4 linked regions of the Saccharomyces cerevisiae S288C genome follow. The gene in region 1 interacts genetically with each later gene. Each region holds a gene or a part of one and is shown in the gene's direction. Other genes may lie near its edges.

Region 1 (3,533 bases):
TCACGATCGTGGTGAAGGTAACTATCGTGTAGTTGGTGTTATCGTCGAACCGGTTTCCATAAAACGTTCCAGTCCAGGTACATGTGAAACGACTGGCAGCCCATTGATGCTAGACGAAGGAAATGATAATGAAGTTTATTTTACTTATTCCGTTAAATTCAATGAATCAGCGACTTCTTGGGCCACCAGGTGGGACAAATATTTACACGTATATGATCCTTCTATTCAATGGTTTTCTTTGATAAATTTCTCCTTAGTTGTTGTCTTATTGTCATCTGTTGTTATCCATTCGCTATTGCGCGCACTGAAAAGTGATTTCGCACGTTACAACGAGTTAAATTTGGACGATGATTTTCAAGAAGATTCGGGTTGGAAATTGAATCATGGTGATGTTTTTCGTTCGCCAAGTCAATCGCTAACCCTTTCAATTTTGGTTGGTTCAGGAGTTCAATTATTTTTGATGGTAACTTGCAGTATCTTCTTCGCTGCATTGGGTTTCCTATCACCTAGTTCTAGAGGTTCCTTAGCCACTGTTATGTTTATCTTATATGCATTATTCGGGTTTGTCGGCTCTTATACATCTATGGGCATCTACAAATTTTTCAATGGGCCATACTGGAAGGCAAACTTGATATTGACTCCACTTCTAGTTCCTGGTGCTATTCTGCTAATAATTATTGCGTTGAACTTTTTCTTAATGTTTGTTCATTCTTCTGGTGTCATACCAGCAAGTACTCTGTTTTTTATGGTTTTTCTATGGTTTTTGTTCTCAATCCCATTATCATTTGCTGGTTCATTGATTGCCAGGAAAAGATGTCACTGGGATGAACATCCAACCAAGACAAACCAAATCGCAAGACAAATACCCTTCCAGCCTTGGTATTTAAAGACTATACCAGCTACTTTGATTGCTGGTATCTTTCCATTTGGCTCCATCGCCGTTGAGTTGTATTTCATATACACAAGTTTATGGTTTAATAAGATTTTTTACATGTTTGGTTTCCTCTTTTTCTCTTTCCTCCTATTAACTTTGACAAGTTCACTCGTCACTATTTTGATCACTTATCATTCCTTATGCCTGGAGAACTGGAAGTGGCAATGGAGAGGATTCATAATTGGAGGCGCCGGTTGTGCTTTGTATGTGTTTATTCATTCTATTTTATTCACCAAATTTAAGTTGGGTGGATTCACGACTATTGTCTTATACGTGGGATACTCCTCAGTCATTTCATTACTCTGCTGTTTGGTAACGGGGTCAATTGGCTTTATCAGCAGTATGCTCTTTGTTAGAAAAATCTACTCATCCATTAAAGTTGACTAGGCCAACGAAAAAGAGGTCCTATATGTTGGGTTAGGGCGTTTTTTATTTATTTCTCTACTGTTTATCTTTTTTAACAAAGAAAATGCTAGGCCCTATGGCCTTTGGACATGATACATAGTTTTTAGTAATATTTTTTTCAAAAAGATTAAAAGTACTATAGGATTCGAAGTTGTAATTTTTGGTGTATATACATTTATTTATTTGAATCTTTTTTCCATGATTCTGGAATGACATTCTGCGTTACAGTTTGGGAATAAATGCTCCTTTAAGGAAATAATATACAGCTTTAGTGTACAGGGTTAATCTATAGCCACATTAAAAGGACTTGATTATGACTTAAAATAAGTGACACTGACGCTTTAATATTCAGTCCGGGTGATGCTGTCATCTAGGACAAAACAATGGGAGTGGATAAGTAAGCAAGTAATAAGATAAAACAGTATTAGAAATTGGTAGTAGGCTGAAGCTTGTTGAAGCTGGTGGACAGAAAAACGCTTATATTGTGAAGATCCTTTTGGATGTCCAACTTTAAGAATTTTACTTTAAATTCCTTTGAAGATTATTACGGAAAGCCCTCTGAAACGCCAAAAATGGAGGAAGAGAAATTGGAAGTAACAAATGTGAATGCGTCCTCTTCAAAAAAAGTACATAAAAGCAAAAAGAGCACTTCAAAATATGACCAAAAGAATGTATTTAGAAACTCAATGACAGGAATTGCACAAATACTGCCAACAAAACCTGTGAAAATTATAGAGCAGAATATTGATTTTGCCAATCCGAAGAGCTTCGACCTCCTGCAATCTACACATACTATTTGCTTTAATAAAAGAATTAACACTACTAATACCAAGTTGAATGTGGAAACTCATACTTCTAGTGATATTGACAACGACATATTGCACGTTGGAGCCCCCACAGACTTGGGGGGAAACAGTAATGACGAAGCGGAAACAAGGCAACTAAGGAAGTTTCGATGGTCCAATAATAAAGAAAAAAGTCTTTGTGAAAAGTTAACAGTCATATATTGGGCCCTCTTGCTCCACACAACAAAGAGAGCAAGTAAAAGGAGACCTATATTATGTCATCAAATGATAGCTGAGTTTTTTAACAGAGTTTATAAGGAGAAATCAAGAGTACCTATAACTTCAAGATATATTAGAGATAACCTCGTCGCTTGGGTCACTCAAGGAAAGGAATTGCATGAAAAAGGTTGGGTAGGGGATGCCAAAACTGGCGATTTGCAAGAACAGTTCAATATAGCCACTGTCAAATTATATGAAAGCGCAGAAGACGGGCGTCTTTCCATTGGTAAAGACAAACCCTTTCGAGAGGAAAACACCGGCAGTGATAGTTTGGTTCGAGCGGAAGAGGACTCTACCGCTGTCACTAATGAAAATGGACATATTTCTTCAGAAAAAAACTTGAAAAAAGATCGTAGAGAGTCTATAAGGAACCAAATCCTGACTTTAGACCTAAATGACGAAGATTTTTTCCAAAATGTAATGAAAGTTTTATCAGCCATTGATGAACCAGAACTGAGACAATATGTAATCGTAATCTCAGAATTAGTTAGCATGGAAATGGATGATGGTAAAACGGTACGAGAAAAGCTCCGAGACGTTGAATTGAATATTAATAGGTTGCAGGTTGATATAAAAGAAATAAAGGAAATGCTTGTTACACTGATAAACAAATGACTGAAAAAAGCAACTCCTGGATCGTTCGAACATTCTCACTCCATTAATTGTATGTTAGCTCAGGAATTCAACTGGAAGAAAGTCCAGGCAAGTACCTGACTTATTTTCTAGAGGACCCCCCAGAGATAAGTCTGGTGATGTGGTCCTTTAATAATTTCATAGGGACAATTCATTTTGCGTTTTTAATTTTGCTCGGTGAACAAAGGATGGCAGAGCATGTTATCGTTTTCTTTTTTTTTTCCTGTTTTAGAGAAAAAGGTTATATATGTAATAATACTCTGATATATGTACACAAATAATAGGTTTAGGTAAGGAATTTATATAATCGTAAGGATATCATTGATAAGGGAAATTTTTTTTTTTTTTTTTCAAACAAATACTATGATAATTAAAATGAAGAAAAAACGTCAGTCATGAAAAATTAAGAGAGATGATGGAGCGTCTCACTTCAAACGCATTATTCTAGCATGGCCTTGTACCACGGTTTGTCGTCATGTTGTAAATCCTCTAAATCG
Region 2 (2,619 bases), on another chromosome or scaffold:
AGTAATTATTCTGACGGAAGAAATTATAAAGAGTCTTCTATATAATGGTGTAGTAAGGATACTGGAACCCTTTTATGACACATTTAGCAGTAAGATACATTTTTGGTTGATGTGATCAAGATTTTTTAGTTTGTAGATTTATTATATAGCACTGGGACATCATTAACATCGCACTTTCGAGTTAATGTATGTATACACAACATCGAGGAACAACAGCATCTAGGGTTAATGACATTGTATTGTATACTTTCGTTGTGCTAGTGGTGGCGTGATGCAAGAAGCTGATACATACCTGAAAATGAAAGAGGACGTAGCTATACGGTGTTTGTGGACGAGTTCACATACAGTACTGAAAAAGATGAGGATGGGCTGAGATAAAGTTTGAATGATAATGAATATTATTACATCTTCTTTCATTTTATATACCGTCATTCATTATCCCATGAAATTATCAAGCCTCGCGTTTCAACCTCTACTAAAATCGTTGACTGTTTCTCAATATTTATGTCTTTCTTACGTTGTATACGATAATATACACGTACTATGGATACTAGTCGATATATGATAGTTAATTCTCATTCCAATAAAAGTCGACACTACCGCTACCACCTAAAGTTATACTGTTTTTATGCGTGCGTACGCAACAGTTCATCAGAAAAATGTCTATCGTCAGAATCATCCCTCTGACATTTCAATTCCAAAAAGATTGCTCTATCTTTGGAAAGTGGCTAAACCTAGGAGTATTATAAAACTCACAAGTTCTTAGAACTTGCTTCGAGAGATCATAACAGGACAAGTATAATACGAGACGGAATAAGATTATCATACCAAAGATACAAAATAAAACAATTGGTAGTCTAAGGTGACAAAATTAACTGAAGCTGTAGCTAGCAATAAAAAAAAGATTCAAGATGTTCAGGGAGTGACGTATATTCCAATGCTTCCAATACAGCAGGCTTCAAGATTGTTGCTTCACTTTCAGGGCGGTGATTTGAAAGCAAACTCCCAAATTTACACTTAATTCTTCTCCTGAGCTGTTCAATGCAAAATGCACAAATTGTTATTTCCCATATAATAATTCCAGTTGACAGCACTATATCTAAAGGTTTCCGTATAATGATGATTTACCGCGTAGTATCATATAAGGGAGTAACAACAGCATTAATTATCGTGCCATTACTAAAAATAACTTAAGCATCAAGCGTAAATTATTGAACTCCAAACTCTATCAAACACTTAAAATAAACCAATATTGAAGAAAATTCGCAATATGTTGTAAAGATTCTGCTGACTAGAAATGGCAGGTAGGATTTTTTTTTTCTATCTAAAATGGTAAGATGAGCATTTTTTACTTGGAACGAGTGTAAAAACAGCAAGGTTACAGCCACATAATTCTCTAATAATACTGATGGAAAGCCGTCTTATTCGGAAGCTGTGAGTATTTTTTTCGTTGATTTGTTGCCAAAAAAATCCATGCAGAAGTGTACTCACTGGTTTTCATTTACCTTTTCAGCAGCACACCTGCCTGCCCCTTATTTTTAACGATTTCTTTCCATTTAGCGTAACTGCTGCCTCGGATTATTATGGTGTTTTTCCACCAGCTCTGCTTAAAGCGTAGAGTTCGCTTGTCTTCTCCCTCCCATCAACAGGAATTTTATTGATCGCGTAATTTCCTACCGACAGTTTGCAGAATGCCAGGTCAGACAGATTAAATATTAAATGAATAGCCCCATAGAATAAGTACTATATATACGCTGCTAGTTTCTTTGTTTTGTCGAGTTTGGGACCAAACCAATACCATTTGTGGAATCACTGCACATATGCAATACTGTGAACTCGATTTATCAGGGCAGTGGCTGGATACAGTATATTGTGAAGAGAATTTCTCCGACTTTGTCTTTATAAAGTTTCTAAATCCTTCACAGTTTGAAGAGAAGATATATTGTTATACTTTACATATCACCAAAAGGACACTAGAAAATAAGAGATTACTTTTGTATTATGAAGATGAATTCAAAAAACATGGTCACGATATTAATGAGCTTGTTGGCGACGGTATAATCTTGCGTTCATGCTGGAACCCTCGACAGTAATCAGACCGAGATTCATGCGTATGCTAGCTCTGTTGTCGACTCAGTAAACTTACAGCAAACCAATGGTACTATCAATCTAATCATAACTGAATTCAATGGTACTACCATTGGCTTTGATACAAACGTTACCAAAATTAATATTCTTGACGCCGACTTTTCTTTTCTTCGCCAACAAGTCAACCAAGAAATGCTAAAAAGAGGAAAAGGGTGTCTTAACGCAAGGTATCGTATCTCGACTGGAGGTTGTACTGATTGCGGTAAATCGCTCGGCTATTCATCTGCACACAATTGCGGTGGAAAGGGCTATTCATGCATTAAAACGTGCACAGAGAAGAATGGTCATGTTTGCTGTGAAGAGTGGTGTGGATCCAAACGCGCTGTCCAAAAAGAGGGATTTGAGAGTGGATGCTGCTTTAATAATCAATGTTACGGTGGCCATGACCACCATGATGAGCTTTAAATAATAAAGTTTAGGTAATATATATAAAGTGGGATAGTATACAAGCAAGAACGTATTAAAATAAAA
Region 3 (3,462 bases), on another chromosome or scaffold:
ATCCAAGACTTTAAAGACCGACGGTGTCAGAGCCGTGTCCATCACTTCTTTCGGTTTTGGTCAAAAGGGTGGTCAAGCTATTGTGGTTCATCCAGACTACTTATACGGTGCTATCACTGAAGACAGATACAACGAGTATGTCGCCAAGGTTAGTGCCAGAGAGAAAAGTGCCTACAAATTCTTCCATAATGGTATGATCTACAACAAGTTGTTCGTAAGTAAAGAGCATGCTCCATACACTGATGAATTGGAAGAGGATGTTTACTTGGACCCATTAGCCCGTGTATCTAAGGATAAGAAATCAGGCTCCTTGACTTTCAACTCTAAAAACATCCAAAGCAAGGACAGTTACATCAATGCTAACACCATTGAAACTGCCAAGATGATTGAAAACATGACCAAGGAGAAAGTCTCTAACGGTGGCGTCGGTGTAGATGTTGAATTAATCACTAGCATCAACGTTGAAAATGATACTTTTATCGAGCGCAATTTCACCCCGCAAGAAATAGAGTACTGCAGCGCGCAGCCTAGTGTGCAAAGCTCTTTCGCTGGGACATGGTCCGCCAAAGAGGCTGTTTTCAAGTCCTTAGGCGTCAAGTCCTTAGGCGGTGGTGCTGCATTGAAAGACATCGAAATCGTACGCGTTAACAAAAACGCTCCAGCCGTTGAACTGCACGGTAACGCCAAAAAGGCTGCCGAAGAAGCTGGTGTTACCGATGTGAAGGTATCTATTTCTCACGATGACCTCCAAGCTGTCGCGGTCGCCGTTTCTACTAAGAAATAGAGAGAGCACTACGTAGTCCCTCTTTTAATATGTAACGTGTCGCTTCTATTTATCAGACATAATAGTAATTACTTTGTTATTTTTCTATCGTTTCCTTACTTTAGCCTCTGATTTCGATCTGGCCTAATCATTGTGTACGTCTATAATCATATGGCCCTGAGCGTACACACCGTTCAATTCTTCTATTTGGTCGGCCCACACAAATTCGCGCGGGGGCATATTGACGCGTGGAAGAATAGAAGTCCGCGTAGCAGCTCTGGGGTAATTAGGCTTTTACGATATCGGCTGGCCCAGCACCGGTTTTTATTCCTCCCGTGGTTGTTGTCTCTACCGTGAGGAGGGGAAAGGGTCAGGGACGGCCGGTAGTTATGTTGTCTCAACGATTACTGCCATCTATTGTTTACACCAATCGCGTGGGGCAAGGGGCTGGAAGGCTGTGGTGTACAGAATAGGGTCTAATACCCGATGCGCGACGCTCCTGCGACTGGTTGTGTGAGCCACCCCTTGATCGCCTCTGCCAAATACTCAGGGAAGAGAAAAATCGCGAAGGTGGACGAGTGCCCTTAAAGAACCAGCATCCTCGATCGCCGCTGCCGTTCGCCCTGGCTTAGCGGTGGGAAGCATCCTTTGGCTTTCGAATTCTCCGCCGTTGAGTCCCCCTAAGGGCCTTATTTATCCCCTCTATTTTTTTTTAGAAAATGTTTTCTTTTTCAAGATTTGTTTGCTCCTTCACGGCTTCCCCCTTAACCGTTCAACAGTCTTCCGTATATAACAATCTCAATCCACTCTTATTGCCTATAATTTTGATTAATTCTTATTCATCCCGGCAGATAAAGTTTCGTCTTGTTTTGAAAGAGACAGGAGTTCTTGGCTGCAGTATTTTGCAACAGCTTCATTAACCATGTATGTAAAGAAAAAATCTGGAGCGACTTACTGGCTTAGCTTTTTTTACTAACACATAAATAATACTGTGATAAGATAAGAAAAAAACACGAAATGGAAAATACCACGAATCGTAATACTGCAGGCGTTCTTACGAGCAGCAATGGTAACTTTGCCACCAATAGTGTAGCGGCATCAACTCCGAAGAGGTCCAAAAGTGCTCGAAGGAAAACGTTCAAATGCACCGGATATGACGGTTGTACGATGTCCTTCACTAGAGCGGAACATCTTGCACGTCATATAAGAAAGCACACTGGTGAAAAGCCGTTCCAGTGTCCTGCATGTTTGAAATTCTTCAGTAGAGTTGATAATTTGAAACAGCATCGGGAATCGGTCCATGCACATAAAAACCACCATTCTACCAGCTCGCACCAGCGTAAGCCTTCCTCTTCATCTTTATCCTCCTCTTCTTCTGCATCTTCTTCGTCTTCTGCTTCATCATCTACATCATATAGTGATCCTTACAGGAAAACTAATATTAATAGCGGGAACATGCCGATGATGGCAGAAAACGAAAAAGCGCCCCAAATAATACATTCTTCGCCGGAGTTCATTACTAGCACGAGAAGCATCCCACCCATCTCTCCAAGGTCCATTTATAATACCCAACGACAGCAACAACACCAACAACAACAGCATCAACAGGCTCCCTATTATTTTCCTTCCCATCCAATCACTGATAGTTACTACCAGTATCCTCTTCCCAGTAATAATAACACCATCAATTATTTACCATCAGTAGATGTGCAGTATCCTTTGAATGTGAGCCCCTCCTCAACGAGCCATCCGGCCTCTGAGGTAATCATATCGTCCTTTCCTCCGAGGTCCATGCCAAGTACTTCCTTCAAATATAAAGATTCTGCCGACTTTCAAGCACGGACAACTATGAACAAATACAATATTAGACCAAGCAATATCAATGTCAATACTAGTAATATCAATAACCATCTTGATTCATTCTCCCCGCCGTTTTCTCCGTCAACGACAGTTGCTGAAGCAAAACCAATTATTTTACCACAGTATCAGCAGGCATTTAGCCAACCACCAAATGGAAATAAAAACAATAATATGTCTTCCTCGAAGAATGGCGGCAAAGGGGGAGAAAATTTCAAGAATACTGATGATCGCAATGATAATAATAACAAAAAGAGGTCGGAAACTTTATCAGAGTCTGATATTTCGGTCAACACCAATAAGAAAAGGCTTAGTGTTGATTACATATTGACTTGATCGAGGCAATCTGATCTAAGTTTCAAATATTCCGTAGAGTATAAATATCTTACAACTAATATAATTCTTAATATGCGCAAACAAATTATGGTGCGCATCTTTTTTTATTTTTATGTTTTGTTCCATACTAAATGCAGTTTATAAAATTTTTCAAATGAGTCAAGCTATGTATAATCAGTGCTACAAAAATGATAAGATGCAATTGCAAGAAAAAATCCCTTGCATAAAGGGCTTTCTGACCTCTTGCGTTGATCAACGAGAAATAACCGCAAAACTTAATTTTAAACTCCCGCGTCTGCTTTACACAGCCCACAGTAGCATCAAAAACTACGATGTAACACTAACGGTGGATTGTGAATACGGAACGAACAATCCTGCATCTTGACTTCAAAACTTGATCATATACACCTATACCGCCATGGTTATCTCGCCCTTACGCTCACCCGGACCCCCGTTAATTGCAATAATAAGAAAAAGAAAAGAAAGAAGCTTTTTATCTCATTTCA
Region 4 (2,898 bases), on another chromosome or scaffold:
GTCTAATGATTTTGAATCTGATGTCATTTCAGGCGTTATGCAAGATTTTGTGGAGCAGTTTGCTGAGCAATTACAACCTTTTGGTGTTGAATTAATGAACACTTTGGTCCAACAGTTTTTGAAATTAGCTATTGATCTGCATGAAACATCCAATTTGGATCCAGATTCCTTCACGAACGTTGATAGCATACCCGATGAATCTGACAAGCAAATGGCGGCGCTAGGTATTTTGTCGACTACGATATCTATTCTGTTGTCTTTTGAGAATTCACCTGAAATTTTAAAAAACTTGGAACAGTCATTTTATCCAGCTGCAGAGTTTATTTTGAAAAACGACATCGAAGATTTCTATCGCGAATGTTGCGAATTTGTAGAGAACTCTACATTCCTACTAAGAGATATCACACCCATCAGCTGGAAAATTTTGGAGCTGATTGGAGAATGTAATAGAAAACCAGATAGTATGGTATCTTATTATTTAAGTGATTTCATGCTAGCCTTAAATAATATCCTCATTTATGGAAGGAACGAATTAAAGAAGAACGAGTTTTACACAAAAATCATATTCGAAATATATCAAAAGGCTGTTACTGCAGAAGATAATTCGTTAGACGATCTTAGAGTGGTTTTTGATTTATCCCAAGAGTTGGTTCTTGCATTAGATGACAGTTTACCTCAACAATACAGAGAGCGCCTACTGGCGGATGTTGTCGGCTCTATTCTAACGCAAAAGAATGAATTGAAAACTAATGTTGTATTTAGTGTGACTGCTTTTAATGTCGTAATCTCAAATATGATAACAGAGCCTTTGATCACGCTTCAGTACCTGAAACAGCAAGGTTGTCTTGAAATCTTCTTTCAAACGTGGATTACAGACTATATTCCGAATTATAAAAGGTGCTATGATATCAAATTATCAGTTCTTGCGTTATTAAAAATTATACTGAAGTTAGAAAGCAACGATTATTCAGTGTTGAACTTAGAAAATTTGGTTCCGCAATTAGGGAGTATTGTTACGCAGTTAGCTTCGAGGCTACCAACGGCGTTAAGGCAATTAGCTAACCAACGCAAGGAATTCTCATCATCCGGTTTTGAAGAGGATACTAAGTGGGATGAAAATTTTCTTGACGTTGGAGACGATGATGAAAATGATGACGAGGGAGACCTTACTGAGAAATATCTGGAACTGATAAAAAATAGAGCCGATTCCTTGGACTTCGTAGATGGTTATGACGCAAAGGAAACTTTCGATGACCTAGAAGAGGACCCATTAACGGGGTCGATCCTGGACACAGTTGACGTATACAAGGTTTTCAAGGAGTCCATTGCGAACTTACAACATGTTGACAGCAATAGATATCAGGGAATCTTGAGACATCTGACCCCGGCTGATCAAGAACTATTCATGGGAATTATGAATGCCTAATTGAATTAAATGGCGATTGTATATTGAAACAAACACTGGATTACATAATTTAGATAGAAGAGAGAGGATATTATGCTCAAAGTTTGTTGCCTTTGCCTCGGCCAGTTGACTTTGATTTGATATCAAGATCTTTTTTTTTTATCTGGAGTCAATGCGATGAACCTAAAAAAATCACAAGCTTTTTTTATCTCTAAGCTGGGGAAAGAATCGTAGTTAAATCGGAAAGAAAAATATCTGAGTTTTGTCAGTCTTTCTTTTGCATAGCCCATCCTTGTACTAGATTTCATAAACATTGATCACTTCAAAATATACTTGTACCAAGATGGCCGAAAATGAGAGAATGTACATCTCCTATAATAATATTCACAAGCTTTGTCAGGGAGTGGCTAAACATATCTTAGCTAGAAACGAAAGACCTGATATTATTATCGCCATCACTGGTGGTGGTATGATCCCCGCAAGAATTATTAGGTCCTTTTTGAAAACTAAAGGACAAAAGAATATTCCGATTCAGGCCATCGGCCTATCTTTGTATGAAGATTTAGGGTTGGATAATAGCGTCGAAACTATCGGCAAAGAGGTCATCAGAACACAATGGCTGGACTTCGGTGCTTTGAACCAACATTTCGATTCCTTAATTGGTAAAAAGGTCCTAATTGTGGATGAAGTTGACGATACTAGAACTACCCTCCACTATGCTGTTTCTGAGCTGGAAAAAGAGATTGCTGAACAACAAAAGGTTTTGAATAGAATGAGTGAGGAAACCGTTATTTCTATCTTTGTTCTACATAATAAGGACAAACCAAAGAGAGCTGGACTACCTGACTCCATGATGAATTCTGGACGTTACATTGCTGCGCAAACTGTCCCTGATAAGTGGTTGTGCTATCCATGGGACGCTGAAGATATCGAAGAACATACCATGCTCGCTAAGGCTCAAGGTCATGACTGATGACAAACAGTATGTTGCGATGGGGTTGCATGTATATAGATACATATAGTTATCATTGGTAATTATTTCATATTTAACCTAAATCTAAAGATAAGAGTGTATTTCTAGTTATCTCATTTTTCCTTGCATTTCTACCATTTGTTGAACTTGTTGATGCATCATCTCTTTTAAATCGGACACATCATTTTCTAATTCCTCCACTTGTTCAGTCTTTTCACCTAATAGTTGTAAGGAGGTTTCCAATTTACTTTGCATCTGCTCAACTCTTTTTAAGAGATCATCTTTCTGTTTATTTACCTCATTGAATTTATCGTTTTCTTCCAGAAGTCTTAAAATCTCATCATTTGCTTTTGTCTTTTCTTTCAGTAAATTATCGTATAATTCCTTTGATGCTGATAATTCACCTTCCAATCTTTTTAACTCCGTACTTAACTTGTTCACCAGATGAGCGCTTATGTGGCCGTTAGAATTCGATAGCTGGACGCTAGCTCTTCTGTATGGTATTGATGTGTTGTTTAAC

Evidence for each region.
Region 2: mutations in SRL2 (region 1) and YOL159C-A together harm fitness more than expected from each alone (negative genetic interaction), as found in Saccharomyces cerevisiae (one large-scale study listed by BioGRID).
Region 3: mutations in SRL2 (region 1) and USV1 together harm fitness less than expected from each alone (positive genetic interaction), as found in Saccharomyces cerevisiae (one large-scale study listed by BioGRID).
Region 4: mutations in SRL2 (region 1) and XPT1 together harm fitness less than expected from each alone (positive genetic interaction), as found in Saccharomyces cerevisiae (one large-scale study listed by BioGRID).

Annotation. Positions count from the first base shown.
Region 1 is NC_001144.5:291,879-295,411, reverse strand, and holds SRL2 (Srl2p), read left to right. Parts: upstream 1-1,839; coding exon 1,840-3,018; downstream 3,019-3,533. Other genes in the region: EMP70 (Emp70p), read left to right, coding at 1-1,321; galactose permease GAL2, read right to left, coding at 3,476-3,533.
Region 2 is NC_001147.6:14,707-17,325, reverse strand, and holds YOL159C-A (uncharacterized protein), read left to right. Parts: upstream 1-1,820; coding exon 1,821-2,093; downstream 2,094-2,619. Other genes in the region: CSS3 (Css3p), read left to right, coding at 1-45.
Region 3 is NC_001148.4:113,532-116,993, forward strand, and holds USV1 (Usv1p), read left to right. Parts: upstream 1-1,780; coding exon 1,781-2,956; downstream 2,957-3,462. Other genes in the region: trifunctional fatty acid synthase subunit FAS2, read left to right, coding at 1-784. UniProt on the Saccharomyces cerevisiae protein: Transcription factor that participates in the transcriptional activation of glucose-repressed genes during exponential growth in non-fermentable carbon conditions. Also involved in salt-stress response.
Region 4 is NC_001142.9:671,243-674,140, forward strand, and holds XPT1 (xanthine phosphoribosyltransferase), read left to right. Parts: upstream 1-1,748; coding exon 1,749-2,378; downstream 2,379-2,898. Other genes in the region: NMD5 (Nmd5p), read left to right, coding at 1-1,426; SGM1 (Sgm1p), read right to left, coding at 2,487-2,898. UniProt on the Saccharomyces cerevisiae protein: May act as a xanthine phosphoribosyltransferase involved in the synthesis of purine nucleotides. Such activity is however unclear in vivo.